4 linked regions of the Alligator mississippiensis genome follow. The protein of the gene in region 4 interacts with the protein of the main gene of each other region in a pairwise test. Links are inferred from orthologs where the notes say so. Each region holds a gene or a part of one and is shown on either strand. Other genes may lie near its edges. The genes, in order: translational activator of cytochrome c oxidase 1, KCNA4, DMRT3 and SAT1.

Region 1 (7,988 bases), on a different chromosome or scaffold from region 4:
AGCTCTGGGTGTCCCTCACAGTGGGCCCCTGGCCCTTTTGACCCTTCCAGTCTTGGCCTCAGCATCGTCCAGCTGAGGATGCTTTGAGTCAGGCCTCTGAGCCTCTATCTCACTCCCTACTCTGGGTCCACCTTCTTGGCCTTACTATGGTGTAACCCATCTGGCTGTGGGAGCTGGGGTTATTAAGGCACCCCAACCCACCTTTCACCAGGGTGGTAACTGGCCTGGCATCTTCTGGGGGTTCCCACACCACTGGGAGCACCACCAGACCACTCACTCCTGGCAGGGTACAGTTTTAGATCAGGACCAGGAGCCTCCAAACCATCCCCTTTTGCTCCTGCCCTTATCTTGAGGATGGTGCATACAGCCTTGCAGCCAGGCAATGTTTCTGCCTGCCCCACCAGCAGCCAACTGCTCCATTTATACAGGCAGTCAGAGATCTAAAATGGCTGCCACAATCAAGCACCTGCTGGCTGCTTAGCTCAGCCCTTAAAGTGGCAGGCACACTTCAAGAAGGATGTGAACAGCTTGGGAAAAATCCAGCAGAAAGCAACAAAAAAGATTAGAGGCCTGAAAAGCATGATTTATGAGGAAAGGCTGTGAGAGCTAGGGTTTTTTAGTTTGGAGAAGAGTAAATTGGTGGGTGGGGGGGGACTAACAGTCTTCAAATGCCTGAAGGTTGATTATAGAGAGGATGGATACTGCCACAGAAAAAAATTAAGTTGAAAATTAAGAAGAACTTTTTGGCTATGAGGGTAGTCAAGCATTGGAACAGGCTACCTAGAGAAGTTGTAGAATCTCCATCCCTGGAAATTTTTAATAACAGGTTGGACAGACACTTGGCTAGGATGGCCTAGTCAGGGATGAGCCTGCCTTGAGCTGTGGGCTGGACTAGATGACCTGGTCAGGTCCTTTGCAGCCCTACTCTCCTATAATCTTGTATACTCAGCTTGTCTAGATAGTTCCAGCATTCTCAGGAGGCAGATGGTTCTTCTCCCTGGCATGTGGCCATCTTGACAGAATTATGAAGTTGAGCACTTAAAAGTTTTTGTTTTGTAAAGTTTGTTCTGAGACTCTTTCTGGTTCCTACCTTTCAAGCTGGTACTGGCTTCATTCATGTTTTCTGCATCTTTCTGTGTTTCTGCATTTCTTACAGGTTGAGCATCTCACATCACCATATTCCCATGAAAATGACCCTGTACAGTGGTCACTTTTTTATAGTTTATGTCTGAAATGTAGCGTTTTAGTTTTAGTAGCAAGCACTGAAGTCATCTTGGGGCTTAGTCGTTTCTGATCTGTTTCTTTTCAAATGGTTTCCTGTCCTTGAATATGCAAGTTTCACTTTACCCGTGTGAACATTATTTTAATGCATTCTTTTTCAATTTGATCATCCTTAAGTTCCCTTAGCAATAACAACCTTGATGTGAGAGCTACTGGCTGCTTCTTCTGGAGAGAAGGATGCCTCAGGCTCATCTCAGAGATATCACACTGTATAGCTGTCTCTTCCTCCACATTACAGCATTTCAAAATGAGGCTTTTGAGTACCAGCTCCTCAATACATGCAATGGCTGCAACCTCTTTTGGTAATCATGTTCATTCTGTGTTTTCAGGAACTTGCATCCCTTGAGAGACCTACAACAAACTTTGTCAGATCCTTTACAAGACACAGCAATTTCCAAACTGATTAAATATCTTTATGAATGGATACCTGCCATTTTGCCTTTCCCATTTCAGGGTTAGACCACAGCCTCCAGGAAGTCATCGGTACTCTGTCTGGCTTTGCTGTCAATCACACTTTCATCTTATTTTTATTTCTTTATCCTTTTCCCTGCCCTTTGCAGCAGACAATCACAATTGTAGCCATGATCTCCAATAGCTTCCACCAGGTTGTCTCTCCATCTGTATGTCAGAATGTCACCAGCTGTGACACTGATCCCCACCAGGCCTGGTAGCATGTCTTGTTGGTGGGGTTGATAGTCTACCAGACATTTATGCCAGTAGCATTCTGTCATCTGTGTTTACCCACTGGTGCCCAAAGTTGGAGAGTCATCTTCCTTCCTTATCATGGTTTACATGGACCAGTTTCAGTTGTTGTCACTCACTGGTGCAGAGAATGTGGCTGGGAGATATGAACAACCAGTTGTGAACTGGACCTGTGCACAATTGCATGCACATACACACTGTAGGTACCAATACACAGGAGTCATCTGCCACTTTCCATTATGTGTGTGACATAGAGTAATCCTGCTGGGAATGTAAGGTGTTCAGGAGTGTGGCAGCCCAAGAGCCAGCCTCAGTGGGCAAGCAGGAACTTCCTGGCATGACAGAACACCATCAAGGCTAAATTCCAGACCCACGCAAATATGGTAGCAAGAGTGTTACTTCCTTAATGTAAGAAGTTCTTTATATAAGTTCCTGAACATAATAAAGAGTTGTTTTCACACCACAAGCCTCATATAGACCAGTGATTCTCAACAAGGGTGATACAGTACCCTGGGCTGCCTTGAGATTCTTTCAGGGGTGTTGTGGGGTGCTATGCAAAGTTAGCACCGTTAGGTGTGTAAACATGATTCGCCATGTAAATCCCAAGATTTTAAATAAGAATCCATAATGTTAAAAGCATGCTGACCTGCTGCGGTCTTTAAGTGCCTTGCCACAGAAATATTGCTCTATTATTTTCCAATTGGCAAGAAACAAATGAAAATGATGAGCTGGCATTTTCCAAGTGGCGCTTTGAGTCTAAGGAGGTTGAGCACCACTGATCTAGGTACTACAGTGTCCAGTAGAGGGCAGCAGTAGATTAAAACATTATGTATAAATACAATGATTCTCTACCAGGGCCAGGAGGATTAGGGCCAGAGAGCTCCTGTCAGTATATCTGCCTTGTCTCTTGTATAAGGACACGAGGGCCGGGGGCAGGGGCATGCCAGACATCCTCCTGTTCCCGTGGGCCAAGTATACAAGTCTGATCTGCAAGCTGGTGACAGATGCAGAATCCAAAACCGCTTGCCTCGTGAAATATTTTGCAGGGCACATCCTGAGACACTGGGGGGTATTCACTCTGACCAACCATAGACTGTGAATCACGGGCTCACCGTGTTTCTACGATACCCTGAACAAGTGCTGCAGTTTGTATGGCCTGCAAAGTGCAGGCCCAGCAACCATTAGAAACCACAAGAAGATCCAGGAGATGTTGAGGGTGCGGAACACCATGTCACCCATGGACCTGCTTCCGGGCGATGTGTGCCAGGCTGTGCGGGAGGACATCGACTACAAGGATCTGCGCAAAGATCATAAGGACCTGAACTGGCTCATGGCCCACCAAGTTCTACCAGTGAGGGCCCGGAGACACAGAGGGGTAGCTGGGGAGACCCAGCTGCCCATGGCCCAACTGGCATGGAGCCACTGAGACGATCGACCACCTCCTTTGGCTCTGCACCTGCACCAAAGAGGTATGGAAAAGGGTGAAGCAGCTCTGCGAAGTGGTGACTGGCGTCAGCTGGTTAATCAGAGAAGCGGTGCTGTACGGGGACCTCGACAAACTCCAGAGAAACCTGTTGCCCCATTTCAATCAGTTTGCGTCCTGCATCAGGAGTGCCCTGTGGAAAGCCAGGAACCTCCTGTTGTACAGGCAAATGGACGCAGAGGTAGTAGGCTGTGTGAAAATGGCACTGAGCGAACTCTGGACCTACTACCAGAAATCGGTAGTGGAGGATGGAGAGGATGCGGACAAAGCCACCTGGCACAGAGACATGTGGCACAGGATCATCCAACTCCCTCTGAGTGGAAAAGGGGGCGGTGACAGAGAGGAACAGGAAGGGACAAGTGGAACTGAGGATAGCAGCAGTGAGTCCTCCAGCGGGAGCTGGAGCGACAGCGACATAGAGGACAGATGAACTGAGAATGTGACCCTGCAAGCGGGGTGGGGATGGAAGGGAAGTATTGCCTGGTCTAAGGGACCAGGATTTGCTTGTATGTGTGTTGCTGCGGCTATTGTAACAGGTTCAGTTATATGTATATATATGGTGCTTACCCAAGCTACTTTTTCACACCATCAGGCCCCTGAAAGTGCTCTACAGCTGTGACGTAACACACGTGGCACAGCTGCAGAGTGCTTATAAAATGGCTGATTGTTTGAAAAATTAACCCTGGTTAAATCAAGTATTAGATGAAGGTGCATGAGGCTGCCCCAAAAAACAGGTCTAGGAAAAAAAAAAGAGTTGTTTTGGTGTAAATGTTTTAAAAATGTTTTTTGCACTTTTCCTCCCTTTAGGAGCTGGGAGGCTCCTGTGGCTCTGGGAGCAGGAACTTTTGGGAAAGCCCCAAAACATTTAGTATGACTCCACCTGCCAGTATCCCACAGACTCAGTGCCTGCCACAGCTCGGCAGGTGTGGGGAGAGGACCCAGCCAGGCTCAGCTGGCACCTTGCCCGTGTTTTATGGGAACCTCTTGGGCAGGGGGGAGGTTGCCTTTCTCCCACAGTCCTGGAGATCCAGGGTGTCCAGCTCCGTCCCTTGCTCCAGTTGGGTTTGGGAATGGCGAGTCCTGCCTGTGGGACAGCAAGCGGGAAGGGGTCGTGCCACGTGAACAAGCACAGTGCAAGCACAAGCATAGTCGTGGCTACTGCCGGGACTCCGAGGTTGTCTGTCTGGGGCAAGGCTCGCTCTGAGGTCTCCGGGTGTTGCGGGGCGCTTGCAATCACCGTCCTCTGGAGGAAAGTGGGAAGAGGAGGTGGCCCCTCACAGAGACCATGGTGCCCAGGCTGCCTTGGACGACACAGCAGAGCAGTGCCACGGCCGAGACAGGCAGCAGTGCGGGCCCACAGGGCAAGGTACAGAGGGGCGAGGCCCCCAGTGTGGCCAGGCAAGGCCCAGCCCCACACAGCCGGACGCAGCTTGGGGGGAGGGGGCCTAGCAGGACCCGGGGGCACGAAGGTGGCTCCCCACCCCCACCCCGTGAGCGCCCGCCGGCAGTGACGGGGTTAAAATCACCCAGCTGCCCCCGCGCGCGGAGGAAAGGGACGTACGGCGCGGGCCCTTCCTGCCCGGCCCGCGGCTGCTGGGGCTCGCGGGGGTGGCGGCGTCTCCCCTGCAGGTGCGACCCCCGGGCCGGGAGCGGGGGCGGGGAGCTCGGCGGCCTGGGATCCGCCCCAGCCCGGGGGCAGCCGAGCCAGCGCGTGTGCCCGGGCGCCAGGTGCCCCCTGCCTAGGCGGGGGTGGGGAGTGGACATTGTGCCCCAGCCGTGTGACACCTGTGTGCGCGCATGCGGGTGGGTTGCGTGACGTGTGCTGCATGTGCGTGTAGAGGAGGCACAGGCGCTCACATTCCATGTGAGAGTGTCATGTGTCATGCTGGGTACTGTGATGTCTAAAGCACTTGTATGTTGGAAGTTGGGCTGCATTGTGTGTGTGTTGGTGATGAGGTCATGCCCTGGGTCGCATTGTATATGCGTGTCAGACAATTACACAATATTTTATGCCGTGATAGGAAGAGATGCACTCCAAGCTGTGCAATGGGCACATGTCCATTTGCTTGTTGCAGGTCAAGGTTGTGTGAGAGTATGTGTCCATTTGCTCATTGCAGGCCAAGGGTGTGAGTGTGTGTGTGTGTGTGAGTATGCATGCGCTTTAGGCCAGACATGTCTAAGTAGCAAGCTGGGGTAGATGATGTACCTGTTCCAAATCATATCCCAAGTGTGTAATGTGGGTACACAATGCACATGCAGATGTTCATTTGTGCATCATGGACCAGGCTGTATAATATCCATGTGTCTGTGTTTGTATGTATGTATGCATGCCAGCGCATTAAGGCCAGAGAGTGTGACACCTGCATGTGTCTGTTGCAAGCCAAGGTGTGTAACCCGTCTGTATGCCCATGTTACTGACAGGCTCTGAGACCGGTGCCTTTCCAGCTTCTGCCTGATAGCTGCTCATGGCTACATCCGCCACCCTGCAAAGAGCAACTGTGCGATACCAGCGACTTCTGCTGGCCTCAGCGCTGGCATCGAAGGGGTCAGCACCATGTCTGTCTGCCCTGGGCCCTCCCTACCTGTTGGGCAGGGCACTACGTATCACAGGTGCCATCCCTGCTGGCCACAACAAGTGGTCCAAGGTGAAGAACATCAAGGGTCCACGGGATGCTAAGCGCAGCCAGATCTTCCAAAAGCTGTCCATGATGCTGCGGTTTGCTGTGCGAGGTATGGGGGGAGGGGGTCCCAGGGGCTCTGCTCTGCGATGTATGAGTCTAGGGGAGTCTCTTAGGCTTTTCTGTATGAGGTATGGGCCGAGTGTGCAGCCGCTTGAGCCCATCCCCTACAAAATCCCTGTCCTGCCTGGACTGCTGCAGGGTAGTATTTGGGTCTGTGTGGGGTGTACTTCTGTTCCCATTCCTTCCCCTACCAGCTCCCCAGCTATGGGAACTTCTCCCCATGAGAGGGGATAATGTCTGGAATCCTTGGGGTCAGAGTGGTGCAGACATGTCCCCGTTGAGACTCTGGCCACATCTTCCCTTCTTGTGACTTGTCCCTTTCCTGTCCCCTTTGCAGAGGGGGGACCTGATCCCGAGTTGAACAGCAACCTGGCCAACATCATCGAGCAATGCCGCAACAACAACATGCCCAAAGCCTCAATTGAGATGGCCATCAAGGGAGTGGTGTGTATACGGTGCTGCTAGCTCAGCTCTGCACAAGGGTGGTTTGTGTGAGTCTGTGTGCGTGTGTATGTGCATACATCTGCACTCATGCTTGGGCTGTGGTTGCTCTGAGTTCTGCAGTGAGGGTCATGATGGGGTTGGGAGTGGGTGAGAAGTTCAGCAGAACAGAATGACAATGTTATGCTCCTTGTAGAGCCACCAGGTAGTGTTTGACTTGTTTGGGCCACGCAGCAGTGTTATAAACATAGTGTTTGGTTGTTTTTCTCCCCCCCCACCCCCAGTTGTTTTTTTTTTGAATGTACATTTATAAAAAACTTGGCAGAAGACATTTGACTTTTTTAATATACAGTTTTGAGGAAAAAAACTCAGCAAAAATGTGTAGCAATTTTTTTTTAGTTTTAGTGACAACTTAAATGGCAACACATGGGAATATCCTGTTAGTTTGGGATACTGATATCCTCCAGCCAAGGTATAATTTATCTTTTCAAGAAGCAATGTCTTGTTCTGTTCCCAGGTGCTGCTGTGATGATAATGATAGAAAACAGTATTCTGGAGAAGAAAAGTGAATTAATTGCCATCCATTCCCTTATCAACTGTGAGCTCTGGCATCAGTCTTTTTCCATAGCCTTCTATGGAAGGCTAATCCAGAGGTGGAGGCCCATCATAGGGAACCATAAGAAAGACTAGAGCACCTAAGAAAAGTCTACTGTAAAGAGAGACTGAAAATGGGAGCGTTGTTCATCATATGGTGGACACACACCCTGGTTATTATAGCCAGTTTTATTCTGATTTGTACTCCAGAGTAAAGACTGGACACAACCAACTCTCACAAGGGATCTGCAGTAGGTGCTATTGCATTGTGTGGCCACTAGGTGGCAAGGGAGCCAATTTGTATCAAGTGAAGGGCTACCCTGGATGAAGTTGTGGACACCCTGCACTTACTCTGTAGTAAATTAGCCGTGGAGTAATGTTATTGCAGTTATTTTGTCAGGGAAACTTTATCCCAGAAAAGAAAGACTTACTCTGTGGTAAGGTGATGTCATGCGTCTACTTCACTCCCAGAGTAAAACCAAATTTCCTTTTTTGCAAACTTGCCCTGTGGACGAATTGGAGGAGGCAGATTGGGATGCGGGGGGAGGGGAAGGTATCTCTTTTCTTTGTCCTGTAACATGGGAGCAAGGGGGCAGGAAATGAGCTAGGTCAGGGTGCTCAGAACCCATTCAAGCAAATATTAATTGTCAGCTTGCTGCAGGCAGGGTGGCATCAAAGCTGAGAAATTAGGAGTTATGAGATATTTCTGTGGCTCATGGGAGCACCTTGAGTTACCACAGGTCACT
Region 2 (7,389 bases), on a different chromosome or scaffold from region 4:
GTATGTCAGGATGAACTATTGGCCCTTTTCCCCCTTGCAACCACTACTTTTTCATATTGGACCTGTAGTTAAGCCTGTAACCTGGTGACAGTCTGCCAGCAGTGATGGTGAGTGGGAAGCTGCTCTCTTTCACCCTTGGTTCCTGCATCAAAGTCCCAAGGACAGCTGTACAGGTCCAGTAAAGACTGATGTAGGCAGAGATTGACTTTTCTATTTCTTCTTCTGCCATCCTTTTAAATATTAGTGCTCTCAGTCACATGGGTTGGATCAATATGGCTCCTCACTAGTTTCTGTGAGTTGGCCTGCCTGAGGGGAGGGAATTTGTCAGAACAAGTCCTTCGTATGAGTATAGTAAAGCAACTTTTATTGAGAAAACACAATATGACAGTGTGTTGGTCAGTATCATAGATTAGCATACTGTCAGGATCCACAGAGGCATTCAGCCTACTGGTTAGAGTTGGGGGGGTATTACCAACATCTAGTCAGGGGACAAGCCAAAGTCAAACCAGCAAGTGGGGTTACAAGAAGCGGATGTCAGGAAGCAAGCCAAAGTTAAACTGGGGTTCCGAAGTTCAAAGATGGTACATGGAAAGGAACGTGGGAACCAGCACCAGGGAAGTCACACGGATGAGAACTACACACTGACTGAGGGCAGGGTGTTGTGCAGTAGGGGTAGGTGCTGTAAGAGCTCCTTAAGCCCTGGAACCAATCAGCAAGCTCAGGCTCAACTAGCCCTGCTTAGGGGGTTGAGTGTTGCTGACCCAGTTGCCCATCTGCACTGCAGAAGCCTTACACATATGGCAACTTTGGCAAGAACCTTACCAACTGCTGGGTGGGCTATTGGGGATGTACCAGTCAAGTCTACACTGTTCAGACACTGTAGACATGTCAGCTTCATTTTGGCACTGGCCATGTGACACAACTAACTTTGGTCCTGTTATATTAACCATTCATGCATGTGCACATCTTCTGCCCTGATCATTATGGTGTTCTGTCTAGCAATATTAAGCTTAGTAACATTTTAAGAATATAGCACAACTTACTAAATATAGAAGGTTCCTGCTCTATCCATTACTGGCATACACCATCATCAGACTACCTGATCATTATGGTATTCTGTCTAGCAATATTAAGTTTAGTAACATTTTAAGACTATAGCACAACTACTTACAACTAGCGTAAGCAGAACTCAACGTGCCTTCTCAATGTGTACCTTTCCAGTGGTGCCTCACCCTGGTGCTAGCTGTGACAACAGAAATGTCCAGCTGATATCAGTAGGGAGATGTGAACCTGCCCTAATTTTGTCTGTAATGCACTCACATTCAAAATAGATATGGATCTTTTCTAACAGATTACAGCTGGGGAAGGCTGTAAAATAGTTTTTAAATTATATTTTCTCAACGTTGTTGGAAAATAAATGGCTAAAAGCATTTATTTTGAATGAACAAGGATATCTTTTTTGAGCTGTAAGAATGAAAAAAATAATCCTATTGGATGCGTGTGAAGCTGTATTTTAAAAATGAAATAAAAAAAAAAACCATGTTATTTATAGGTTAAATCTTACTTTTGACCACAGAAATTTTTTGCTGATTTTATATATCATTTTTTCACTGTAATCTGTACTGTGCTGTGTATATAAATAAAAGCATGGTGTAATAAGCAGATCTTTGGCCAAGATGTTAGTAACTCCTAGATTCTAATCCTGGCTACAATCTCTCTCCCTCTTTTGCCTTGAATTATTCATCTAGTTGACCTGCCATAATTTTCCTTTCTTTAAAATAAGGAAAATAATGTGACTTAGCTCAAAGACCTTGTAATATTTATAATATTTATAAATTGCTTTTGAGACTGAAAGCACTGTACAGTCAAGATCCATGTAGATCTCTACTGTAAATTTTGTGTTAATCATTCAGAAGGTCCTTTGATTTCTTTTCAGATTGCACAGGTAATAAACCATCATAACAGAATTCTTCTACATATTAGGGCCAGATTCGCTGATGGTATACTGTGAAGTAATAATGCATAGTTAAATTGGTGAGGTATCAATTTATAACAACAAAGAATTTAACTTTTTTGGAGTTCATTCTCCACAGGCAAGATGATGCAGAAAGAATTCTGCATTCCTTTGGTACAATACAGATAAACGGTGCTAATGTACAGTATACAACTCCATTCGACTACCAGAGAGCAGAGCAGATCTCTATAGTGAGGTCCTTTTATTACAACGTACTAAATGCAGTTCTACCCCTGGAGATATTGGCCCACTACACGTTCTGTCTCTTTGTTCTACTAATATTTTCCCTTGGAAAGACGAAGGAGGGGAGAGCAGGTAAAGGGATTTTAATAAGAATGAATGTCTGAACGAAAATATGATTAATCTACAAAAATATGATGAATAAAATAAGAGTTGCAGTATTTTTTGTAGCAATCTCAGTCATCTATAAATAATCAAGGATTGCTTTTTTGCTTTAGAAAGTGTCTGGGAAAAGGTGGATCAGCTAAGACTTTGGGGTTTAATTGGATCACATTTACTTGCCTTGTCTCAATTGTATTAGAAAAGACTTAAAAAGAGGGCCTACATACAGAGAAAGCTTTACAATATAGAAGGTACCTGCTCTATCCGTTACTGGCATACACCATCATCTGACAGAGTGCCCTTTTCTTTGCTTAGGACTGTACTTTTGTTGGTAGAAAAATAGAAAGGAATAACAATTGAAGAGGTGCACAATAATTGGATCCATTTCTGCTGCTGTCCTTCACACGGTCTTTTACTGTAACAGCAGTAAGAGGCATGGACAAGAAAGCAGATCTGAAGCTCTGAAAAAAATATGATAGCTAACAGAGCCTAGCATTTTTCTTGTTTTCAACTTCCACCCCCTACCTCTGCTGCCCAAATATACCACCTAAATAGAAAACAAGTCTGAAGAGCTCCTACTAAAACAAAAAATCTCCAAACTGCCATGTATCCTGCATGCTGCCAAATCCTAGGCCTGGAACATGACTTCTACAAATTTTTGAACTAAGCATTCAAAGTTTAATGCCTAAATGGAAAGTAACACTATCCACTCCCAGTACACTAACATTACTAGATCTTGCTGCATCTCTTCTACTTTGTTACATAATCTGAGTGCTTGGTCCTATGAGATTCAGGTGCTGAATATATGTCTTTGCAGTAGATACCACTGGTGCAATGGTACTTGATACTTTGCAATTTAAATGAAGTAGCTGGTAGTAATAAACAAAGCAATCTGACTAGAACCAGTAAGATCCAGTTTTCTCCAGTGCCAGTTTCAAATATGACCTGGATATTTTGGGGGGTGCATTAGGAACAGTTATATTTTCCCACTATTTTTTAAAAGGCAATTTGGGAGATTCTGGTTAAAAATTGGTTGGATTCATATGTATTTCCTAGTTTGATGGATAAAGATACAATGTGATCTAGTTGTTTTTTTGGTTTTTTTAGCTATGTAGGAATAACTACCCTTGATTTCTATTAAACTGATAGAATTTGAGGTCTGTGGCCAAATCTGTTCAAGACTCAGCCAGGTGCTGGATACGCATTTTCGTGATGCCCACTAATGTGCGGGGAGAATCTATCTAGGTTGTGAATATCGTGGTGCTGAAGCAGCACTACACTGGTTCTTTGTTCCTCTTAAGGAAAACGAGGGATGAAGAGCAAGTTTGGATGAATCTGGCCAGACAGAGATGCAGCAGTACTCATACACAAAGCTATGACAGGGTCATTTGGTAAATAGAAGAAGACTGACATAGAAGAATAGAAAATACCATAGAAAGAGAAAAATAAGATTTTATATTTAAGAAGCAGAATTTGGGGTAAGATATTGACCGGATCCAGTTGCACGATCCAGGTTTGTTTCAGCGTTGGTGCTCCGAGCTACCTTGTGGCTTGGATGTGGTGCGGCACGGGCGGTTCAAAGGGTTGATGGTCCAATTTGGGTGAGTGGAGAGCAAAATATCAGCTGAATCCAGGTAGATGTGGGTCTTCCTGTTTTAATTTAAACTTTGGTGCTCTGCTTCATTTTGAAATTCCCAAATTCCCTCCAGTGTCTCTGCAGCATATTTTTCTTTCTTAGGGGGGGAGGAAAAAAAAAAGACAGAGCCTTTAGCATTGACTTAATCACTACATTTTATTAGCCAGCTTATGTATTATTCAGCGTTGGAATATTTCTTTCAATAATTAATACATTAATACAAAAAGGGAGCACGCCTGGGGGAAGGAGGGGGAGCGTTTGCAAACAATGAGGGTGCAAGGGGAGCTGTGGCCGCTAGGGGCTGGTAGAGAGGTGGAAAACCTCGGGAATAAATCAGACCTAGCCCCGGCGTTTGTCCTTCAGTGGCACGTAAACACGGCTGAGAAGCGGGCAGGAGAGAGCAACAGGACTTGCTCGAGTTACAACCCTGAACTCATTGATCACAGCGCCCGCTTGATGGCTGCGCAGTTTTGAAATCAGGGAATAAATGCACCGCTAGTGCTTTTTTTGTTTAATCTTTTCCTTTTTATTCATTCTTCCCTCTCCCTCCCCGCCGCCAGCCCAATCCTTCAGACACAACAGCCACAACAAGTGGATGCTGCGAGAGCGCCCGAACTGCGCGGCGATCAGCTGCAGTTCAAACGTGCGTGCGAGGGAAATTGCAACAAGCAAGACATCCTCTTGCCAGTAGCAAGAGGCGGGTTGGGCACACGGATTGCTTGCTTGCTTTTTGACAAATCTACGGCAAAAGCCGGGCTTGGAAAAGGCCACATCCATTCATTCCCTCTCTCCCCCCCCACACACAAGCCCTCTATTGTCCCCTCCCCCGGCACAGGAAATCTTGCTCGTTTATTATTTTGCAAAGGTAAGGAGTGATCGCCGCTGCCCAGCATCCCCCCAACTCAGGCTGGCTGCCTCTCTCTCCAGGAGGTCTTGTTGCACGCAAAGAGAAGCCAGAAAAAATAACTCATCAACCTGTAGGGCTGCCTGACCCTGCACCTGCAAACAGAGATTGTTCAACACAATCCTCTCTTCAAGATCTCTCTCTCTCTCTCCAGATCCTCAGGCTAGCGAGAACAGCGTTGCTCTTTCTCTGCCTAGGAACAGTAAGTATAATAGCTTTTTGGTTTGGGGGTTTTTTTTTTTTGCCTGGCACACACATCTGGCATTTTTGTCATTTAACAATTAATATCCATCTCCTTGTGCTGTATGAATGTAAAAGGTCGCTGGACATGAGGATGCTGGTTCTGTGTGTTTGTGTGCGTGCGTGTTTAGCTTTTGCTTCATTGCCTCTCCAGTTTGCATTTTCTTGACACACACCATGAATATGCTTCACTTGACATGCCAGTGGATGTGCCTGTTTCTACATGAAATGCAGTAAAATGTTCACTGGGACTGAAACACAGTTTAGACATAGCACATACTGTACCATTGCTGTATCTAATTAAGTTCTAAAAATAAACCAAAGCTATAGCCTATACATTTTTTTTTTCTTGAACTAACTGATCATGCCAAATGTGAACGCACTCTGTGTGTGTATGTTTTGGCTTGTGCATTAGTATTTATAGATTGATTGCTTTCTTTCTATCGGAGCATGCATGTGTTTGCGTATGGATGTGAGCATGTACATGGGTGTACATTTTCTATAGATATAAAATACATACCCACCCACAACCATACCCACACAGACGTGTGAAATCTCTCTCTGTGAGATATGGGTGTGTATGTACAGTATAGATTTGAATAGTGGGGGTGGTGGAAGACTGAACACCTTAATAATAAATGACACTATATTCATTTGTTCAGCACTGTGGCCTCTTAGGAAAATGATCCAACCTCTTCCCTTTTTGTTTGTTTGTTGTTTTTTGTATGTGTATATGCATGTGCCTCAGGTTAAGTGCTCCTTCAGCATGAGAATAACCAAAGGGTGATCCACTCCCTTGTCTCCTATGGGGATTGCAGAGCCAGTTTTGCAGCCTTCATCATCTCCTCCTCCTCATCTTCCTACTGCTGCCGCCATCCTGGGTGCAGCTCCCAGGTTTGAAACACTGTTGACAGGCTGAAAAAAGAGGGCATGGATAGACCTCCTCACTGTGTAAACAATATGAGAGCTGGAAGTTGCTTCAACTCCCTAAATAACAATATCAATCAGTTATCAGACTACTAGGCCAAAGCACTGCTTGGAGGAAAGTATGAGAAAACAGGCTATTTTTATTTGGTGACACTGGTGAACTAAAGACCTGAAACTTTTTTGGTGGCAAAAAACTAATAGAAGAGTTGCCCTTTCTATTTGCATAAACATTTGCTCCTTGCTGGATGTAATCTTGGGAGCCTGCAAGAATATCATGAAATTGTTCAGATCTGTTGATCCTGCATACACCACCAGAGAATACTAAAACCAAAGGGGCTTGGTGGATGAAAGGACAAGGCCTAGGCTCTTTCCTGATCAAATTTGAGAACTTCATCTTTTGATTAATTTCCATTCTTAGCAAAAGACATAACTTTTGTGATACAGCCTGGATGATAAAGAGATGCAGATCTGTGGTTGCTACAGTTTTACAAAACACAGACTCAACGCAACTGGTATCCTGATGGGTTGAGCTTCCAAGAGACCAGCCTCCAAATGCAAACACCTTTGAACTTCCCACAGTAAAACAACAAGCTTTGACAGCAGATACACCGAACATTTTTGCATTAAACAAATAAACAAACAGTTGCAAAATGGAGGTTGCAATGGTGAGTGCAGATAGCTCTGGATGCAATAGCCACTTGCCGTATGGATATGCGGCCCAGGCCCGGGCCCGGGAGAGGGAACGACTGGCACACTCAAGGGCGGCAGCGGCTGCAGCAGTGGCAGCGGCAACAGCGGCAGTGGAAGGTGGAGCCACTGGTGGAGAGGGGCCCTATCACCATTACCACCAGGAACAAGGGCGTGGTGGGAATGCATCCCGCAGCAGCCAGCCCCAGCGTCAGAACAGCAAGAGGAAGAAGCGAGGCAAAAAGAGAAGCCACCATCTGGGAAGCAGGGAATGTGGGGCCTCTTTCCCCTGCTCTGAGTTGTTGCCTCTCAGTGGCTCAGAAGAGAGAATACTTAAGGATTTGAGTGATGATGAGGAAGAAGAGGAGGAAGATGAGGATGAAGAGGATGAGGAGGAAGGAAAGTTCTACTATAGCGATGAAGATGGGGTGGATGATTTTTCATACTCAGACCAGCCACCTGATGATGGTGGCGGTGGCGGTGGCCCTGGGAGCTACAGTTCAGTTCGCTACAATGAGTATGAGTGCTGTGAGAGGGTGGTAATCAATGTGTCAGGACTGCGGTTTGAGACTCAACTGAAGACCCTGGCTCAGTTCCCTGAGACACTGCTGGGTGATCCAGCAAAGCGGGGCAGATACT
Region 3 (6,912 bases), on a different chromosome or scaffold from region 4:
AGCCAAAGGATTTATTTTATTTTATTTTATTTCCCTCCCCCTGGAAAATCCTGATCGTTTTCTTGGATGCCAGCAAGTAGCAGGCCTTTGCCTCATGCTCTCAAATTAGCTCTTTTTCCAAGACGGGATTGATTTCAGATGGGGTGGGTGATGGGTACGGAGGAGTTGATATTTTATTTGGACGAGGGGAATGGTGGAAACACCTGCACAATGGGATTTGGGGAAACTGCAACTTTTTCCCAGAGTCTAGAGTTGCAGGACCTGCCCCCGGGCAACTGCTGGGAGAAGCCGGGCGTGGGGCACGTAAACATGGGGCGCAGCCTGCTACACTGCATTTTCGGAGCCCCTCAGCATTTGCCACTGATCGCCTTTCACTGGCCGGGGCTGGGTTTTCCTCCCCCTGCCTGTGGACCCCTGGGTAGAGGCCCCCGCAAAATATTGTCCCGGTTGATCAACCGAGCCCCGCATTTGTCACGCAGCCTGTTTTAAGTTCTCTGCCTCGTCAGTCATTATCCGCGCGCCTCTTTAGCGAAGGGGAAGGGGTGAAGGCAGGCTGCCCGGTGGCTACAGCTGCGTTATGGTCGCCTCAGGAGAGGAGGAAAGAAACCCCCAGAAGCGCCAGGCTGGGTCCTTTCTGGGTCAGCCTCTCAGTACAACGGGGGCTGGACGCTGGGATCCAGGGACAGAAGGGTCCTAGGAAGGATCCAGGGGCATAAGGGTCGTAGGAGGGAGCCAGGGACACAAGGGATCTAGGAAGGATGCAGGGACACAAAAGTCTCAGCTTGGCCGCTACGAGCCCTTCAGGCTCTCAAGGGATGATGCTGCCGAAGCGGGGGGCAGCAGTGAAGTCCTGCCTTCCCCAGCCTTTCCCAAATTTGCCCCCGTGGCCGGGAAGCAGTGACATCCTACAGCTGTCCGGGCGGCGGGGGCTCCCCTAGCTGCTTGTTCTAGTCGCCCTAGTTTATTAGTGTGATCCTGGACCCGGATAAGCAATTGTTTAAAATTGTTTTTCATGGGATCTGCGGTGTATTTCATGCCACTGTTTCCTCGCATGGAGGAGCTCATTGCAGCTGTCGGGCGTTTCTGTCTCGCAGTCATGATGGGAAAACAAGCACCAGCTTGCAGTCACTGACTGGCTGGTCAGTCCCAGGCTCGGGCATCTTCTGTGCACCGGAGGCGGCTTGGTAGAGAGGCCATGGCACATCTCTATCCCCCTCTGCCCCCCTCTGCCAGGCGGCAGCGACCGCTTGCCAAGTTGCCCAAATTCACCAGCAGCGATTGCAAGCGACGGGAAGATCCCGTTGCTGAAGCCGGGGGGCGACAGGAGAGAGGTGCCCCCCGCACCCCTAGTGTCATCAGGGCTCGAGGATGTCAGCACAGCCCGCAACCCCCCCGCGGTGCCAATGCCCGCGCAATGGCGAAGGGATGGTCAGCTGGCTGCTTGTGCCCGGGCTCTCCAGAGCTCGCCCAGGTTTGCTTTTTCAAAGCATTCCCAGGCGGCCCCTGGAGATTGCATTTCCCAGACGGTCTGAGCCTGATCTGTGGATTATCCCAAGAAAAATCAACATCGAAGAGCAACCGATTGTCAGCGGGTTCACTCAAATGAAGTTACATTTGGGTTTTGCCCTCCCCCTCCCCTGAGCTCCCGCAGGATTTTTCCCATAAACGTCTAAAGCTGCTGGATTTAGGAGAACCGGGCACTCTCCCCCTAAATGTTATTTGGACCATATGCTTTGCACATTCATTCCCTTTCACTCTATTCTTCTCGGCGCTAACTGCTAACACGTTATAGTCACCTTGAAATTTCCTCTGCTATTTTCCAATTAAAAGCTTAATAGCCCTGGAAACGGAGTTCATGTGGTGAAGTTTACCATAGCCCCTGCTTCTGAAAGGCTTTCTGCTGGGATCCCATTATGTGCTTGAATAAACCTTTTCTGCAAACAGAAATGGGACTCGGGGTTGTCAGGTGTTGGGTTACAATAGACTTTCAGGCAGGGGACATTTTGCTAACATAAATACAAACCTGTCCCTATAGGGAGATGTTGTCAAATACTAGGATATGGAAAACATTCCCATCAAATATGAAAAAAGGATTACTGCCCTATATCAAACGAGCGGTTCAGCCTAAACTCCCGATGTGCACTCAAGTGAAACAGGGGCCCCACGACCTAATAATGGCAGCGGTGGATAGAGAGATGCGTGGCCAGATAGGTGACAGAGTCAGTGAGACTCCCTGCTCTGCTCTGGGAAATCCAGAGCCGCGGAATACAGTCCAAAACATCTTCGGAGAAAGATTTGTCTTGGGGGTCTCGACATAAGATCCGGGAGACAAAAGTTCTTTCCCCCCAAAATTAAATAAAGCCAGTAGAGCCATAGCAGAGCGATAGCATTTATTACAGTAGGGATCATCAAGAATCCAGCGCCTCATTCAGTTAACCACATGTCCTAGGTTCATCAGTTTTTCCAGGTGGATTCTGTAGACGATTTTGCCTTATATTTTAATTTGTTTTTTAAACGTAAACGCGCTTCCTCATATTTTAAGTTTTTTAATGTAAATTCGTAAGCGTGCATTTGATCTATGGGATTAGTTGTCCCGACTTGCTGTATTCAAAACCCGTAAGTGATATATTTATACACATACATAATATATACATACATACAGTTTTGAATACAGGAAATTATGTACATATATGTATCTATCTTTTAGATATATATCTCACACCCTACGGCTAAATATTCAAAAACTAAGTGTGAGATACATAGATATATATCTATATACATCTCACACATCTATCAAACTTACCGTTTGTTAATATGCATGTGTGTATATCTATAGCTATAGTTTATCTATATACATGCATGTATTATCTATAGATAGATAAATATAAATATATATATATATATATATATATATATATATAGCTCTCCATATATAGATATCTAGATATATAGCTATATGTAGGTATAGATATATAGAAAAAAATCTCTAGATACAGATTGATACATATAGATATATATATATAGAGAGAGAGAGAGAGAGATTTTTGCAAGGGCTTAAAATTGCCTGTAGGAAACGTGGTCTATGTCTGTGTAATATTCTCGGGGTGAGACTAGCATCAACCAACGTTAGAGACACAAACAATACGGGGGAAACATTGTGTTGCGATTTGGGCATTCTGCAGAAAATAAATGGACTGCGTGCCCTATTCCCGATCTGTTTCAGTTTCCTCGTCATGTAAAAAGCAACAGATGAGTTAGACAAGAAGCCCCTCTCCTTTGATAGCGGCAAGATTTGTGTGTAAAATACGAATCGACCAGCTGGGAAAGCGAAGGAGGGCTTTGAAAAGGAACACGGGACCGAGTGAAATCTCAGGTCGCGTGTATCCGTCTCGCACTTTTACTCCTTCTGGGCAAAAAGACTTTTCGAAGTGAATGAGCGATCTCTACGTTTGAAAGTTGCTAAATATGTCACCGCTGCCATCAAACAGCCGCGGCATAAAACTAACTTCTTTTTAACAAAATGTTGGTTGAGGAACAACAAAGGCAAACTTTCAAACGCGGCCACCAGCCCGCGGCCCCTGGCACGGAGTGAATGTGGGAGCAGAAGGGCGATCGCCACGCTCCGAAAGTCAGCTCGGGGGGTTGTCCGGGTTTAACAACCGCCTGAGATGAATTTGCTTCATCCCAAGCTGCATTCACGGCGGGGTTTGGGGGGTTATTTTTTCTTCGGGGAAGGTTGCTGGGAAGCGCCTTTGGTTGCCTGCCCGGGAGCTGAGCCGCGCGGGCTGGGGGAGCTGGAAAGCAGAGTTACGGACTGCGGCTCGGGGTGGGCCGCCGGGGAGGGGGCTGCCCGGGGGGGCATGGCAGGAGCCATCTTGGCGAGAAACAGCCGGGCGGGGAGGCAAGACCTCGGGCCCGCCGGCTCCGGCCATTTGTTTCCGCCAGGAAATGCGATCGCGGCCGGTTGGGAGCCGGTTTGCGGCGGGCGCAGGGGATGGGACCGGCGCCTCTCGCCCGGCTCCTTCTCCCCTGGTACCCGTCCTGTGAAACTTAGCGCGGCGGGTCCCACTGGTGCAGAGCAGCCGGGGCCCGTGCAGCCCGCTCAGGCACCTCATTGCTGCAGGGGGGGGGGGGACACCTCCCCGCCCTCCTTGCAAGCGAGGGGTGCTGGGGAACCCCCCCGAGAAGCCGCAAGCGAGGGGTCGGCTGCCCCCAGCCCGGCCCAGCCCTGGAGGCAGCAGCAGCAAGCCCCAAGTGGGGGAGCCCCCCCTCCCCAGCGCGCACACACTCCTCCCGCCCGCTTCCCAGTGGCTGCAGCGGCTGCCCAGGAGCCGGCGCGCCTCCCCCCGCTCCCTCCCGCGGCCCGCCCCCAGGCCGGGCGCAGGTGGGAGGCAGGTGCGGGGCTGGGGCTCGGGCCGGCGAGCGGCCGCACGGAGGCAGAGGCTGCGGCCGCAGCAGCGCGCGGCTCGGGGCATGAACGGCTACGGCTCGCCCTACCTGTACATGGGCGGCCCCGTGTCGCAGCCGCCGCGGGCGCCCCTGCAGCGCACGCCCAAGTGCGCGCGGTGCCGCAACCACGGCGTGCTCAGCTGGCTCAAGGGCCACAAGCGCTACTGCCGCTTCAAGGACTGCACCTGCGAGAAGTGCATCCTCATCATCGAGCGGCAGCGGGTCATGGCGGCGCAGGTGGCGCTGCGGCGGCAGCAGGCCAACGAGAGCCTCGAGAGCCTCATCCCCGACTCCCTGCGAGCCCTGCCCGGCGCCCCGCCGCCGCCGCCGCCCGCCAGCCCGCAGCGCCCCCCGGCCGAGCTGGCCGCCGCCGCCGCCCTGCGCTGGGCGCCCGACCCGCCCGCCGGCCTTCAGCCGCCGCCCAAAGCAGGTGAGGCTCCCGCGGCCGGGCGGGGTTGGGTTGGAGAGACCGGGCAAACTTTCTCAGCGCAGGGAGCCTCCTCCCGCCTTGGAGGGCTGGGAGCGCCGGCGAGACAAAGCCTTTGGTCCGGATGCGGTGGGTCCTGCTCGGAGCAGGGTGTCGGGCTGGATGCCCTCCCTTCCAGCCCTCATTGGCCCTCATTCCCGAGGCATGGGGGGCTCAGGCTGAGTGGGATCCCTCCCTCCCCCCAAAAAGGGAAAGGACTCTCCTTCCCTGGAGATGAGCTGCCTAGGGGACGCTGGCCTGACCCAGAGCAGGGCTGCCAGGCTGATCAGCTGGATGGAGGGGCTTCCCTGTGAGGAGCCCAGGCCTGGGTGGTTGAGAAAAGAGAGGCTGGAGAGGAGATTTACCTACTTGTACAGGGAGGGTTTGGAGAGGGATGATCCTGCCTTGCATGAGGTGACCTCCCAGCCCTGCAAAGTCCACGGGCAGGAGAAAGCTGGTGGGGATTGATCACTGCCTCTCTCAGCGGGCAAGAACCAGGGGCAGAAGATGAAAGGAGAAGGTAGGAAGTTGAGAAGAAACAAAAGGAAGCTCCTCTTCATGCAGTGCCTCAAAGCCTGCGGGACTCCTTGCCCCCAGATGCGGGGGAAGCTGATGGTTTAGGCAGATTCAGAAAGGGACTGGACACCTTCTTGGAGGAAAGGGGCAGCAGGGGAGTGAGGGGCACAGCCTCTGGATCAGCCCCCCACGCTGGGGGCTGCAAGCGAGAGAGGAGTGGGGAAGACCCTCCTCAGACCCACTCCTCACTTGTTTTCAGCTCCACTCTCTGCCCCTGCAAGGCACTGGGCAAGAGGGACCCATGGGCTGTCCCAGGAGATGGCAGCTTGTATGGCAAGGCGAGGGCAAAGCCCTTATGCCCAGCCCGATTGAATTTGTTCCAGGCCAGATCCGTGGCTTGCTCCCTCCTCACTCGCCCCAGTGGGGACTGGCAGCGGAGATGAGTGGGAAGGGGCAGCTCCCAGCCAGCAGGCACTGTGCGGCCCCCGGTGGGACACAATCAGATCCCCCTTGGAGCCTGCTTTTCCTGCCCGGCTCCCCCACCCCCGCAGACCCTGCCCTGTTTGTGCGCTCTCCTGGGGCAATGTGAGAGTGGGGCAGCAGCTCCTGCCATTTGTTTACTTCATTCTTCAGCCCCTCTTCCCTCCCCTCTGAATAACTTTACAGCTAACACTTTTTTTAGAGATTTATTTTTGTTTTGGCTCAGCAAAATCATTCTGGAAATCCTCCTCCCTGAGGGACAGAAGCTCCCTGCACGCAGAGGGGCTGCCAGGCTGCTCCTCATGGCCCCAGCGAAAGCCTGAGGCAGAGAAAGTGTGCAGAGAGCAGGGACATGGCCCCTGAGCCAGAGGAAGGCGCAGGGGGGTTTCCAGCCCTCTTCATCCCCACACATGGCAGCTGTGGGGGCAGCGCTGTGCATCCCAGCGGCCCTCATAGTCTTGGGGGGGGCTGCTGCCCGTGGGGAGGAAACCCCCGATGGACAAGCTGAGGCTTTCTCAGGCTCAGCCCCGCGCCATCCCGGCCCGTGGGAGTGAAGCAGGGGGCTTGGCTGGAGCCTGGGGCTGGTGCATTGGGCTCTGCACCAAACTCCGAGGGCTCCCGCCCGCCTTGGAGCCATGTGCACTGGTCCCTGGGGGCAGCCCGCTTGTCCCTGATAGTCAGGAGTTACACTTTGACTCTTGGGGGTGGGTCTTGGAGGGGTTTAACACTAAGTTAAACTGGTTCATTGGTTAACAAGTCTACTCCGAGACCTCCTCTCCAGATTATGATTTTCAAATCTTACAGGAGGGTTTTCATCTCTTATGGGGGTGGGGGCTCAGCTGCCCCAAGCTCCCCCATAATTTGGACTCTGGTCTGGGGGAAGGTAGGAGCTCTCTCATGCAAGGGTGTGGGGTGAGTTGCCCTGGGCCCCAGGCTCCATTTTCTCTGCCCTTCTTGGTCGCTGGCAGGGCGGGCAGGCTGGAGTGGAGGCTCCGTCGTCA
Region 4 (6,926 bases):
TGATTCCACATATCACTACAGCTCTGTTGGTATAACAACAGTCACTCTATACCTTCCTCATGAGCTGGTGGGAAGACTTTCATCCCTGCAAACTCTACATATCCCTAGCATAAATTCTGCTCATTCTGGTCTTGTCTTCAAACTTAGGGCTGGTGCTCAAATATACAAGCCCCACATAAACCACTGCAGGATGGACAAGGTGGTGATTCACAGGAGGAACTAGGAAGGAACAAAGTCAAGAGATCTCCGTTTAGTTAGGACAGTTAGTTAGATGGTTCAGACAGGGCCCTCAAAGACATAATGGCAGAAGTTAGTTACTGCGATATGCAGTAGCAATTTGAAGAAGTTAATCATTCAGCATAGGACCACTATGAAGAGTCAGTCCTGACCCTTCAAAATAGCTGCAACAGGAAGGAATGAACAAAAGTTTTAACATTTACAAACATAAATAGGATCCAGATTGAGACTTAGTGTATGCAAGTCGGTGAAGCTACATCTACTTGCAACACATCTGATTTTAACCCAGGAGATATCATTAATCTTTGCATTTACATCAGGCTCTTCACCACAGTATCCAAGCGCTTTTCGTTGGTAGAAACATTTTCTGCAATACGGGTGTACTTGGTAGCCGTGTTGGTCTGAGACAAAAAGACATACAAAAAACTAGAACTCTTGGTTCCAAAATGATACTCTCATAGTATGGTCTAATAAAAGGTATCTTTGTGAGCTATGTTGAGTAGCTCTTTGATGTGTTGATCAGGTAGAATTCCTTCCCTGGAGGGGCCTCCCTGTCTGCCATCTGACATAAAAAACTTCTTTGTTGTTCTGCAATGAAGTTTAAAATCCAAAATTGACTAAAATTCGGCATCTTCCGTGTTTCAGGGGTAGAATTCCTTCCCTGGAGGAGTACACCTGATCAACACATCAAAGAGCTACTCAACACAGTTCACAAAGACATGCACATGGACCCTGAGGGACAGACTCCCATCTTCAGCTCCCTCTGTGTAAAAATGAAGTTTATTTCCTACCTATGGGGACTTTTTACCATCTTGTACCATCTACACTTTTCCCCAAAGCCCGACAAAGGGACTTTGATCCCAAAAGCTTGCAGAAAAGGACACTTTTCTCGCCATTTTCCAGTTGGTCTAATAAAAGGTATCATTTTGGAACCAAGAGTTTTAGATTTTTGTATGTCTTTTCTGCAATATAAAATTTTCACTAGAAAAGTGCCTTGTTTTGGCAAAAAACAGATCTAAGTCCTGAACCAAAAAAAAAGATGCATTACATCTGAACCTTTTTATACTTCACTATGCACATGTAACACAACACCCCATATAAGCAGTAGTAACAGAGAGCTTGATCTTACAAGCGGCTGGGCATTATGTCCTTCATTTAGCAATTACTAAATCCTGTGGTTAACTTCAAGCAGGTGAATAGTGCTGTTGAAGCCTTAACCTTTATAACCCCTTGTCTTGGGAAACAAACAATTAAAATAAACACTGAGACTGCTGCTAATTCTTAAAACTATTTTGAGAGGTTAATTCAAATTATTCTGTGTTTAGAGCTGGCTGACTACCTACTCATCAATAAGATGAGTTCTGTGATTCAGAGGGAAGGTTAACTGGAGGTCAAGGGAAAATGCATGCCCTATTTGCCATTAGTTTCACTTCCAAGGTTTTTGCAATTCTGATGCTAAAAAGCTCTGTTCCTTTTGCTGGATGATAAAATGAATTCCATCAATTCCACAGATCTCACATTTTAAAAGATCAGTTGATAATGTGGGTAACATGCCTAACAATGAGGATTACACAAGAATCATTCAAGCAGCGTCTTTGTTGGATTTTTATATTAGTAAACTATCTACACCTTGACCATTCTCAATTTAATGCAGGCTTCTCACCACTAAGGCATGCTATCATCTCGACAACAAATAGCCAAAGCCTAGGCTCCTTCTGCCCAATTTATAGGGAAAAATGAGACGGTTTGAAACCTCTGCTGAACTCAGCAGTTATCAATTAACTGATTGCACTAGCAAGTCAATTAGCATCATAAAACATGAATTACTGTTATATGGAGGCTTTGAGGTGTGACTATTTGAGTTACCTGGGGAGAAAAAAAAAAAAAAAAAATCAAGAACTCTTGGTTCAGACATGATACCTTTTATTAGACCAACTAATAATTTATCTAGCAGAATCTTTCTTTTAGTTTTTCTCTCATCTGCATACCATATCCTGCAGTGGCCCACAGAATGCTTTCTGATTTTTCAATATTTTTTCCCTCCAGCATACATATGAAAACAAACCCAAATGAGCCATGTTTGCTGGGATAATGCAGAGTCACCACATTTTGGTGCAACTGGAGAAGTGGGTGCAAAGCTAAATTCTCTTAAAATGCTGAAGCTAGGGTGGGGGAGAAGTCTAATCAGATTTTAGTTTCTGAAGTCATGAGACTGAGAAAAAAGAAACTAAGTACTTCTCTACATTACTCAATTGCAGTTTCCTGACAGTGTGGTTTCCTGTATGACAAATGAAAAGAAGAAAAAAAAAAGCTGAGGACTTGTGAACACTGAAGTTGTTTTTGTATTGTGTTCCTCATGCACAGGATTTCTGGAACGTCATAAAGTTTTCATGAATACATTTCTTTAAACAACACCTCACAATCCCCCAGGTCTTATACCGACCTTACTAGAAATTCCTGTGGCACTTGATTAGAGAGTGCAACCGGCTGGGATCTTCCCACAGAACTTCTTCCCACCACCAGCACCAAAGCGTTTGCCTAGGCCCTGTGGCAGAAACAATGGGTACACAGGGCTTTTTAAGGGTTGTTGGTTGTAGCCAGGTTGGTCTAAAGACACAGGCAGGCAAGGTTCTTTGGGTAGAGGTGATACCTTTTATTAGACCAACTGAAAATTGGACAAATTGTTCTTTGCAAGCGGTCAGGCACAAACACCCTTCTTCAGCCATAGAGAGTCTGCTGGACTTTTCCTATGCCTGAAAACAACCAGCAGCTTCTCTTTATGCCTGAAGGGCATTTGTGCCCAAAAACTTACAAAGAACAAAGTTTTCCAATTATTTAGTTGATCTAAAAAAAATAGCACACATACCCAAAGAACCAGAGCACCAGTGGGAGAAGAGGCAGAGATTTTTCTTTTGCAAACCATCACAGGTACATCACTCCTGCGCTACCACCCCACATGAGGGACATGTTGTGCAACTGCAAGACAAGCACCGCTTTACGCCAGCCGCAGCAGCTCTGGCAGCGCTGAGGTCAGGCCCCTTCAGCCTGGCTGGAAAAACAGTACAAGGGCTTGTGCTTTAGGAGCCAGAGGAGCGCAGCCAAGCCAAGCAAGGACCAGAGAAGCGTGCTGGTGGCCTCGGATTAGTCAAGGTGGTGGAGCTGGTTTACTGTGGTGGAGGATGCCTGGCACGCAGAGGAGTACAACCCCTGCCCCCAGGAAGGGCACACAACCACAGAGTGCACACTCCCTGCTCTGGAGACAGTAGCAGACGGGCCACAAGGCTTCCCCCTTCATTAAGGGGGGCGGGGCGCTGCGTGGGAGCGAGGCGCCCGCACCCCACTAAGGGGCGCCCTTGCCCCTGTCTCCAACGGCGAGTCACGAGACGCCGGCTGTTACTAGCAGAGTGAGGTAATCCGGCGGCGGGCGCGCGGCGGTTGGCTGAGAACGCTGGTGCGGGCGCGCTCATTGGCTGGCGAGGCGGAGCCTGCTAAGCTATAAATAGGGGCCGGCGCGGCTCCTTCGGGCTAAACGCCGCTACGCTACCGTTCTAGTTGGGCGTTTTAGGACTTGCTGTACACCGCCGCATCGGGTCATGCTCGGAGCCTGACTAGGCGCCCGGGACACGAATGAAGAAGCAGCTGCTCCTCCTGTTCACTCACCGGGGACTTGTCAGCCGAGGGGGCCGCAGGGGAAAACGCCGCCGAAAATGGCCTCGTTCCATATCCGTGCCGCACGCCCGGAGGACTGTTCTGACCTGCTGCGCCTTATCAAGGTGCGGGCGGAGGGGTGGGGACTCGCGCGTGCGCAGTGTGAGCTGGGCATCTCCCCCTCCCCCCGCCCTTTTTGCCTAGAGAGGGAGTCCATTCGGAGGAGGAGGGAGGCTTGCGCATGCGCGAGTAAGGGGGGGGGTGGAACACTTCTGCGGCGTTCTTGCCTGGGAGTCGAACGCGCCTGCGCACTAGCGTGGGCAGAAGCCAACGATTACATAACAGGCAAGGGAATATTGGGGCCTCTGTCTGCACGTGTAAGGAAAGGGGTGGGGCTTGCGCATGCGCACATCCTTGCGAGTGTTGACAGCTTCTCTGGTCCCTTCTAGGAACTAGCCAAGTACGAGGACATGGAGGACCAAGTCATACTGACTGAGAAAGGTAAGGTGCTCATTGGCATGGTCAGCAGCTCCCCTCGGTTGCCATTCCTTGTTGGTGCCTGGCTCTAATGTCTGCCCTCTTTCAGATCTGCTGGAGGATGGCTTCGGGGAGCACCCGTTCTACCACTGCCTAGTGGCAGAAGTGCCCAAGGAAGCGTGGACACCAGAAGGTGAGACTTGCTGCTGCTGCTGGTCTTAACACGAGAAACCCACAGGCCGCACGCAGCCTGGGGTAATGCTGCTGATTGTACATAAGGCTTCCGCTGTTAAAACGCGGTAAGAGGAAAAGGTTTAAGTGTTGAGATGCAACTGTGCAGATTGCAGTAGCTTTCTAAGTAATCTGCCAGCCTGAAGAGCATGGGAGACCAGGTATAATAAATATAATGTGCTTTAATTCCATTTCATTAAATGGTTTTCTTGTTTGACCCTAATTTACCTCTTATGTAATCCTGTTGAATCACATTTTTTTTTTAATTTGTCCCCAATCTTCAGGTTACAGTCTCTAGCTTCGCCATGTACATGGCCCTTCCGTGTACATGGATGGGCGGGGAGGTAACTAAAAGATCCGTTACACAATAAAGTAGATGATCATGATATGAGGTAAGGTCTACAGGGACAAGTACTATTCCCAAACCTTTACCAAAAAAACACGGTAGATCAGAAATCCTGTATGCACTGTCTTCCTATGAGCATGTGCGAAGCACTATGGTAAAAATGTGATTTCAATTTTTCAAGTTTTAGGATTGAATGGAATGATGTGGGAAGAGTTGGCTCCTCTTCCAGGCTGAGCTATGGAATTGTTGTTGGTCAAAGTAGATAATAGCTTCCTGTTGCTGAGGGTAGAGAGAGACTAATGCTATCAGTGGGAGCACAGAGGAAGCAGTGTTGGAGATGCCATTACAGCAGCTAATGGCTGTGAGAGAGCACTCCTGGCTTCCCACAGAGCAATTTTTGAGTAATTGGAAGATGAAGTAGTGCTTTTTAGATTACATTCATTATTAGCTTTATGCTCAGATTCTAAGGAAGCAAAGTTGAGCTCACTGTCACCAGATTCTGAACTGCCGTGTCAAACTTAGTCTGATTTGTATTCCAAAGTGGACATACTGATAAATCATTAGGGTATGTATGTATCTGTACCAGAAAACCTTGGTTGTTTGGTGCTTATTCTTAACTGTAACACTGGCTTTGAAGATGCAGGGTATCAGAAGGATAAGTTCTCATTTTCTAAGACTGATTCAGGTTGCAGGAATTTGTCTTAACTGTAACTTACTGCGCTTATTGTAAACTTCTATTCCTAAACCCAGCCTATGATAGTTGCAAATTTAATAGTTGCATGTTACAGAAATGGCCTAGGCATTAAGACATGCATGTGAGACTAATTTCTTTTTTTTTTTTTTTTTTTTTGAAGGCAACAACATTTTAAGTTTTTACTAAAGTAATAAAACTTTTTGTTTCAGAACATTGTGTTGTGGGTTTTGCCATGTATTACTTCACTTATGACCCATGGATTGGAAAACTGCTGTATCTTGAAGACTTCTATGTGATGTCTGACTACAGAGGTATGTTCTAATCTATAGTAGTAGATTGGAAAATTTATATTTTTCTAAATGGTGTACTACTGGAATAGCTTGGGGTTTTTTTGCTTTTTAGGGCTTGGCATTGGTTCAGAAATTTTGAAGAAGCTGAGTCAGGTATGTTGTGGCTTTTTCATTCTTCCATTAGACTTTTTTTTAAGCACCAAACAAGTAATATGTAATCAATGCTGTTTATTGGTTGTACAAACTACTGCCTTCAAACACTACTTGGAAATAAGGGATTTAGTGGCATTAGTGAAAGAAAAATACATCCTATAAACTGTTTCTACTAATCCTAATTCTGACAAGCACAACAGAAAGTGGACAAATCCCAGAGGATAGGGTAAAGGAAACCAGCCACACTTAACACTGCAACCACTGTTTAGTGGCATCCATTTCAGCTCTGATTCAAGCTGCAATTTATTAGCCTATTAGTGGAAGGATAGCCAAGTTCATGTATACAGCAAATGAGATTGCTCTGTCTTTTAGTCTACTCTGTAATATTTCCATAGGTTGCTGTTAAAAGTCGCTGCAGCAGTATGCACTTCCTGGTGGCAGAATGGAATGAACCTTCCATTAGGTTCTATAAGAGAAGGGGTGCCTTGGATCTGTCGACTGAGGAAGGGTGGAGACTCTTCAGAATTGACAAAGAATACTTATTGAAAATGGCAACTGAAGAGTGAAATTGTTCCAGCACATGACAAATCCTATCCGCGAATTATACTTTGAATAAATTCTTGCCTTATTCTTGCTTTGTGTACAGTCTGTAGTGAAATAAATAGCACAGATGTTCAAGAGCTTTACCAGTGCTGAGAGTAGTACTATAGCTACTGTACCCCAGAGTTGACAGCTGTGAAGTCCAGTTTTTTTGCTTGTATACATCTTTCACTAGTGTGGGCTTGTGATCTTTAAATATATATTGAATAAAACTTCATTCTTGTAAGTGTAATGCAAATGTGTACAATGT

Evidence for each region.
Region 1: the proteins of SAT1 (region 4) and translational activator of cytochrome c oxidase 1 interact in binary tests that used the Homo sapiens proteins (3 or more experiments, as listed by UniProt). The two-hybrid records come from large-scale screens. The link is inferred for Alligator mississippiensis from reciprocal best matches to the Homo sapiens genes SAT1 and TACO1.
Region 2: the proteins of SAT1 (region 4) and KCNA4 interact in binary tests that used the Homo sapiens proteins (3 or more experiments, as listed by UniProt). The link is inferred for Alligator mississippiensis from reciprocal best matches to the Homo sapiens genes SAT1 and KCNA4.
Region 3: the proteins of SAT1 (region 4) and DMRT3 interact in binary tests that used the Homo sapiens proteins (3 or more experiments, as listed by UniProt). The two-hybrid records come from large-scale screens. The link is inferred for Alligator mississippiensis from reciprocal best matches to the Homo sapiens genes SAT1 and DMRT3.

The regions. Positions count from the first base shown.
Region 1 is NC_081828.1:74,614,163-74,622,150, reverse strand, and holds the start of translational activator of cytochrome c oxidase 1, read left to right. Parts: upstream 1-4,988; 5' UTR 4,989-5,095; intron 5,096-5,245; exon of another isoform or gene 5,246-5,269; intron 5,270-5,887; 5' UTR 5,888-5,931; coding exon 5,932-6,196; intron 6,197-6,544; coding exon 6,545-6,651; intron 6,652-7,988. UniProt on the Homo sapiens protein: Acts as a translational activator of mitochondrially-encoded cytochrome c oxidase 1.
Region 2 is NC_081825.1:207,409,423-207,416,811, forward strand, and holds the start of KCNA4 (potassium voltage-gated channel subfamily A member 4), read left to right. Parts: upstream 1-4,376; 5' UTR 4,377-5,098; intron 5,099-5,884; 5' UTR 5,885-6,713; coding exon 6,714-7,389. UniProt on the Homo sapiens protein: Voltage-gated potassium channel that mediates transmembrane potassium transport in excitable membranes. Forms tetrameric potassium-selective channels through which potassium ions pass in accordance with their electrochemical gradient.
Region 3 is NC_081826.1:192,449,676-192,456,587, reverse strand, and holds the start of DMRT3 (doublesex- and mab-3-related transcription factor 3), read left to right. Parts: upstream 1-3,908; 5' UTR 3,909-4,473; coding exon 4,474-4,879; intron 4,880-6,912. UniProt on the Homo sapiens protein: Probable transcription factor that plays a role in configuring the spinal circuits controlling stride in vertebrates.
Region 4 is NC_081824.1:316,091,413-316,098,338, reverse strand, and holds the start of SAT1 (diamine acetyltransferase 1), read left to right. Parts: upstream 1-3,926; 5' UTR 3,927-3,944; coding exon 3,945-4,010; intron 4,011-4,334; coding exon 4,335-4,386; intron 4,387-4,471; coding exon 4,472-4,555; intron 4,556-5,842; coding exon 5,843-5,944; intron 5,945-6,035; coding exon 6,036-6,076; intron 6,077-6,471; coding exon 6,472-6,642; 3' UTR 6,643-6,926. UniProt on the Homo sapiens protein: Enzyme which catalyzes the acetylation of polyamines. Substrate specificity: norspermidine = spermidine >> spermine > N(1)-acetylspermine. This highly regulated enzyme allows a fine attenuation of the intracellular concentration of polyamines.